2 linked regions of the Bombyx mori genome follow. The protein of the gene in region 1 binds, or shares a complex with, the protein of each later gene. Links are inferred from orthologs where the notes say so. Each region holds a gene or a part of one and is shown in the gene's direction. Other genes may lie near its edges.

Region 1 (2,739 bases):
TTATGCTAACCAAATTTGTTCTAAGATAAAGCATTATTTGTGAACTATTCCACGCGGACGAAGGCTCGAGCAAAAGCTAGTTATTTTATAACTAAACTTTAAGTAAGGTATATCAAGCTTTGCCTGAAAATATTTTATAGTGCAACTTTTTCCGCAGCCTCGATCGACCGCCAATACTAACAATACAAGTGGAGACGCTGAAGGGAGCACCAGTGATTCGCAGAATAGTTCATCGCAAAACTCGCCCAACAAAACTAATGGTATGTAGTAATCATTTGAATCATTTGAAAAAATATCTTTATTTTCATTAAATGAGTGGATGAGCTCACGGCCCACCTGGTTGTTAAGTGGTTAGTGCAGCCCATAGATATCTACAGCGTAAATGCGCCACCCACCTTGAGATATAAGTTCTAAGGTCTCAGTATAGTTACAACGGCTGCCCCACTCTTCAAACCGAAACGCATTACTGCCTCACGGCAGACATAGGCTGTGGTGGTACCTACCCGTGCGGACACACAAGAGGTCCTACCACCAGTAATACTATGTCGAAACTTTCATAAATTAATGTAAAATGGCTTCATCACACCAACAACGTCTATCTTATTTGAAACCTTGTTAAAATCAGACTTTTTGGGATTTGGGAATCAGTACTTATTCTTCTTCCTAACATTTTTCCCGTCTAGTGCCAGGGTCTGCTTTTACGGTAGGCTGTGGCTTGGCTCTGCCCCTGGCATTGCTGAAGTCTATGGGCGACGGTAACCACTCACCATCAAGTGGGTCGTATGCTCGACTGCCTACAAGGACAAAAAAAAAAAAAGACTTAACTCCTCCACTTAGGCCGGTCTTTGGCATACTTCTGGATGAGGCTATTCTCCTCCATGTCCTTTACATCCGGTAGTTGTCAAAAACAATGTTAATTATGTAATTATTTTAATTTTATATGACTTTTAATCTTATATATAAAATTCTCGTATCACTATGTTAGTTACCATACTCCTCTGAAACGGTTTGACCGATTTTTACGAAGTTTTATATGCATGTTCAGTAGGTCTGAAAATCGGCTACTATCTATTTTTCATACCCCTAAGTGTTAAGGGTTGTCCTCCTCTAACATTTTTTTTTGTTTTTTGGACAATTTTTTTTTTGTTATAATGAGGCATTATGTGGTTAATAAGGTTTTATTATTTTTATATTCCCTCATCGTTCACAGCGCTACATGCCTTTACACTCATTTACCACATCCTTACACACTTACAATAAGTTAGTTTTTTTTTCTACACTAGAAGTACTCTAGAAATCTTATACATATATGGCAAAACAACGTTTGCCAGGTCAGCTAGTAATGTTATATTATTGTTTTCAGATATAGCGGCGGGAGATAACAGTTTAAAAGTACAAGAGCCGATCGCGGCCAACTAACGTTTGATTCATCGCAACATGCGCGTACGAAGACTCAAATTAAAAACGTTTTCGCATAATAAACAGTATGTTATTTTAGCATAAGTATCATTTTTTGGAATTGAAACATTTTTATAATGCATGTCGTCTATACGAGATTAATGAAAAAAAAAAACCCACTAAATCGTAATTTTCACACTGATCCCTTGGCTTTTCGCGTTTTTTAATATTTATATATAGATATAAATAATAATGTAGTTGAGTGCCTTAGCAACTCATTTGTCATAAGATATTTGTATGTCATAATATTTTTTGGTGTAAACAGTTAAGTGACTGTATGTTGTTTTTTGCATTATACAGTTTTTTATATATTTAATGTTACTTGTAACATGTAGTTTGAAAAAAGGTTTTTTAAATTAAAAAAGGCTTAGAGGGAGCAATATTTATTTCGGGCTCTTAATAACGCCTGTTTATTTATTTTTTTATTATGTATTAATAATAAAATGTGCAATCACAGCAACGGATTGACTGATATTCGAAATCCGAAATGTATTTAAAAAAAGATTATATTTTTTTATTTACACCTTTTCCTTCTTTTTGTTTTTTACGCTAATCGCTGGTAACATTTTGCTGACTGTTTTTCTTTCAAACTACCATAGAGGAAATATTAGTTTCTTACCACTGAGTAATAAAGCAGTGTGTACCTTTTTAACTGTTAATTTTAGTTAGTTTTTAACATAGACTGTACATATAATTTAATTTCTTATTTTGTTCAGATCTCTAATAAATATGTAAGTCTATAAAATTGTTGTGCATTATTTTGAAAACCTCTCTTAATTTTTATTTGCACGTTTGCATAAGTAAGTTTGTAACGTCCGATTTCTCCATGAAGTACATATTCATACATTCTGGCTTGAGTGATTGATCCCCCATAATACAAACAAACAAGAGACTGGTCTAATCTCAAAGATTTTCCAGTTTTAAATAATTTTCAAAACCATTATACCGTAAATAGTGCCATTGGTATTTGAGTCGTCTATTATCAAAGGTGGCAATCTGTGCATTTGGACAAAAAAATGTTATTGATATGGCAATACAGACTGATTTGAATATAATCGTCTCCTTCAAAAAATACGGTTCAAAACCTGCATTAAATAAAGTATTAACTTAACCTGTTATTTATCTAAGATGTCGTTCAGAAGAGTTTGTGACTGCCAATGGAATACGAAATCAATTCGTTTTTCTGATTTACCAATAATTGTCCAAAAGTCACATTGCCGGCTTTGATAATAGTCGACTCTTTTGTATAATTGGTTAAATGTATGTAGGTACTTTAGAGAA
Region 2 (4,275 bases), on another chromosome or scaffold:
TGCTATTTATATAAGCAATTGTACGTATAGAACAATATGTCGTGTCCCTACTATATAGGTCTATGTAACTTAACCACTATCTTAACATACTTTTGTACTATGTTATGACAATTGACAATAAGACATTGACAGTGACAGTAGTTTTATTTTTCCAAATGAAAAGGCAAATGTGTCATACCATACAACCTAATTCTTTATATATATATTTTAATAGATGAAAAATGATAATATGAAGTGAAATAAAATGAAGTTAATTAATTAATATGAAACATGAAATGAAATGAAATGAAATGAGATGAGATGAGATGATATGGGATGAAATATACATCTCAGTAAAATGGTGGCCATTTACTGAAACTATTTCAGTGGACTTTTTGGAGGATCCCGAGAAGTTATGTCCATAGGCTTTGTTTTATTTTCCTACATTTGTGCACTTTCACAAATACTAAGCAGTTAGTAAACCACCGTTATTACGCATTTAAGCCCGAAGAAACACTAAATAGGCAAAATAAAGCAAATCCCGCAAGTTCACTCAAAGGCGGAAACAGTGCTTTTTGTGTTTGAGAGTAAAATGTTTGGGTGGGTTTACTACCGGTGGGTTTTACTAGTGGTAGGTAGTTCTTGTGAGTCTACACGGGTAGGTATCACTACCTTGCTTATTTCTGTCGTGAAAAAGCTATGCGTTTCGGTTTGAAAGGTGGAGCAGTCATACTGTAATAAATGAGACCTTAGGACTCATATCTTGAGGTAGGTGGTTATATGTACGTTGACTATGTCTATGGGCTCCGGTAATCACTTAACACAAGGTGGGCCGTGAGTTCGTCCTCCCACCAAAGTAAAAAAAATGTAATCATTCTAGAATGAAATGAAATGGAGTAAAATGAGGTATGATTGAAAAATAGCGTGGCTATTGTGTAAAATGAAAAATAACCTCTCAGTGAAATGGCAGGAATTTATTGAGAGTTCAATGGACTTTTTAAAGTGAAAGACTGTTTACACTTTTACAAATGTTGAATTGTAATATGTCATTATTAAACGCTTAAACACGACGAAGCACTAAATTATTAAACCTCGAGATTCTAGTCTTGAGTTTACCTTCCATGTCAAAAGGCATAACTTTTCGTGCCAGAAATAAGTTGGGTAGTACTTAGGACACCTGTGAGCTTATAATACGCCATACCACCAGTGAATTGAAAACTGTTTTATTTAGTCAATTTATAATTTTGCTGTTGTACTAGTGGAATAAAAACATAATAATGCCTGAGAAAGTGCATCAGCATTGAAATAGCTGGTTATGTTAAAAAAATTAATTAGATTTTTTACGAATTCCTATAATTTGATGATTATACTGAAGACATAATTTCTAATTTCATCGCACTTTTCCATTTAAAGCTTAGAAACACTCTAAAGAAAGTCTTGTGTAGGTAACGTTCTTTTTACTAGGTGGACACAATAGATAGACCAGAAAAATGTTTATGGTTTTAAATATTTTCAAGAAATCAAGGGAGCCAACATAGGCAACAAGCAACATACAGAAATAGAAAATAAAAGTGTATTATTGTCTTTGGTTGAGTAAACTCTTGTGATGTCGTCGTTGAGTATCGAGTGTCGTCACCTTTTTTAAATTTTTATCTAGGTAATTAACAACAATATTTTATAACAGTATTAATCTCAAAGTTGGAAGTGTTTTAGTTTATTAATTTTTAGGTCTTTTCCTCACAAACAAAGTAAAATTAAACGAAGCGATGGCGGCCATATTAAAAAAACATAACTGAGTTCAGTTTACAATCTTTTGTTATCTTTTCAATCTCTCCTTTTCATTTAACTTTTGGTAAACATTAATTTATTATAATACTTCTATATACTGAGCTCATTATTAGTTCTAATAACTTATCGAGTAATCACTTCATAACGGGATTTATTTACTTTGTCATATAGCTTGTTGACGCGTCTCGTAATCTTCGTTTTCAAAAGACCGAAACGGGTTTTCTAATATACTTATCTAATATAAAAATATGTTCCTCTTGTTTCAGCTATTCTGAAATACTTGGTGAACGTGATAAACTGACTAATATACGTGTCTAAAAGTGATTTAGAGAATTTATTTAGTGTTGGACTTGGACAAATAATAATTAGTGTGATTATAAGTTTCTAATTTTAGTCGTCCCTAGCTAGGGATAAATTTGGCAAAATGATGACCGAAAATAGAATTAGTTCAAGTAATCACGTCGGAAATAGTATCAGTCAAACTAAAGGGTAAGTATAAATTTAATAAAATGTCCTTTGTCATGCTAACTGCATGTAGAATCACACGAAGCAATATTCTAATCATGTAAACGCATTTTTCAGAGAGGTCGACAAAAGCATCGACGACGTTGGTTGGAAATCAAAATTAAAAATACCCCCAAAAGACAGAAGAATAAAGACTAGTGTAAGTTGGCTTAGTTACTAGAAATTACGGCCCACATACAATAGTCATTGGAATTTAGACAGTCAAAATATAACAATTTAAAAACAACTTTAGAACATTTTGTGGTATTCTACAATTGCATTATTGTTATACACGAATAATCCAGTTATACACTGAAAATTTAAATTTCCAACAAGCTTGCTTGTTTGCTTTTAAACAACAAACAAAAATAAAATTTATGGGGAAGTATAGTTCTTGAATTGTTTTATTCTGTTAAAGTAAAAGAAAAAGTATTTGGTTGATTTAATTATAAGTGATTTTTGTCTTTACAATCTCCAATCTAATACATTGTTGACAAACAGAATTCAATTCTGTTTAAATAGCTCCAATGCTACATTAATTACTACTTTAAACATTTTGTATTTATTTAGGATTTTTTTTATCATAACATGTCTATAATGCAGTTGTAATAAAATTAATCCTATTGTAAAAGAATTTTGTGTCTTTAAGCTACACTATTAATGAATTAGGTGAGTTCTATTGTCTGCCTTAATAGTAATTAATATCAAAGAGTACCTCAGTTCTTGATGCCCACATAGTAATGATGGTATTCCTTATTGATTTTTCAAAACACTTAGCAGCATATATAGTTAGCTTTATTTAATTATGCAATCTCATAAATCCAATGGTATATTCTGATTATTGGAAATATAAAATATTGATTTTTCATTTTTTAGATCATATTTGTGATTGATCATTCTTATAGATCATCATCATACATCATTTTAAGAATATATTTAGATTATAGTGGACATAATAATCAAATTTCGTTTCTAGGATGTCACAGATACTAGAGGCAATGAGTTTGAAGAGTTTTGTTTGAAGCGAGAATTGTTGATGGGTATTTTTGAAAAGGGATGGGAGAAGCCATCTCCTATTCAAGAGGCCTCAATTCCTATTGCCCTAAGTGGAAAAGATGTACTTGCAAGAGCTAAGAATGGAACTGGTAAAACTGGTGCTTATTGTATTCCAGTTTTGGAACAGGTAATTTGTTATATGTAACAATAGTTTTCATTTTTATGTTTTTAATGTATGATGAAATATTTGGATTCCCCTTCACTTTTTATAAGTGAGACAAAACAGAACTGATTAAAAAAAACTATGTTTTAAAACAAGACTGTGTAATTATTGAAATTACAAGAGTGAATTGTTTTAGGTTGATCCTAAAAAGGATACTATACAAGCTTTAATTGTTGTACCAACTAGAGAGTTGGCACTCCAAACATCACAGATTTGTATTGAACTGGCAAAACACACAGACATTCGTGTAATGGTTACTACAGGAGGCACAAACCTTCGAGATGATATAATGCGTATTTATCAAAATGGTAAATATAGATACACAAATTGAAATGGAAATAATTTCAAAATAGAAAATATTCATGGAATATACACTTTATTTCTAGTACAAGTGATTATTGCCACACCTGGGCGTATGATTGATCTCATGGATAAGCAGGTGGCCAAAATGGATCAATGCCGGATGTTAGTTCTTGATGAAGCAGACAAACTTCTTTCACAAGACTTTAAGGGCATGCTGGATATGGTTATTTCAAGGTTAGCGTTTGTTAGTTTCATGTGTAACAAATTCAGTGACCAAGAAATGCTAAATAGTGCTTCTCAAAATAAATGTCATGTGCCATCTCATAATTTCAAATACAGTGTGTGAATTAAAAACATTATTGATGGATTTTAGATTACCTAAGGAACGCCAAATCTTGCTGTTTTCTGCAACTTTCCCTCTGAGTGTAAAACAATTTATGGAAAAGCATTTGAAAGAACCTTATGAAATAAATCTCATGGAA

Evidence for each region.
Region 2: exuperantia (region 1) and ATP-dependent RNA helicase me31b share a complex: the UniProt entries of both Drosophila melanogaster proteins name them as parts of the osk RNP complex. The link is inferred for Bombyx mori from reciprocal best matches to the Drosophila melanogaster genes exu and me31B.

Annotation. Positions count from the first base shown.
Region 1 is NC_085134.1:3,230,566-3,233,304, forward strand, and holds the end of exuperantia, read left to right. Parts: intron 1-157; coding exon 158-260; intron 261-1,363; coding exon 1,364-1,419; 3' UTR 1,420-2,203; downstream 2,204-2,739. UniProt on the Drosophila melanogaster protein: Ensures the proper localization of the mRNA of the bicoid gene to the anterior regions of the oocyte thus playing a fundamental role in the establishment of the polarity of the oocyte. May bind the bcd mRNA.
Region 2 is NC_085118.1:10,825,114-10,829,388, forward strand, and holds the start of ATP-dependent RNA helicase me31b, read left to right. Parts: upstream 1-1,475; 5' UTR 1,476-1,636; exon of another isoform or gene 1,637-1,831; intron 1,832-2,033; 5' UTR 2,034-2,191; coding exon 2,192-2,256; intron 2,257-2,349; coding exon 2,350-2,431; intron 2,432-3,247; coding exon 3,248-3,454; intron 3,455-3,626; coding exon 3,627-3,798; intron 3,799-3,876; coding exon 3,877-4,027; intron 4,028-4,166; coding exon 4,167-4,275. UniProt on the Drosophila melanogaster protein: ATP-dependent RNA helicase which is a core component of a variety of ribonucleoprotein complexes (RNPs) that play critical roles in translational repression and mRNA decapping during embryogenesis, oogenesis, neurogenesis and neurotransmission.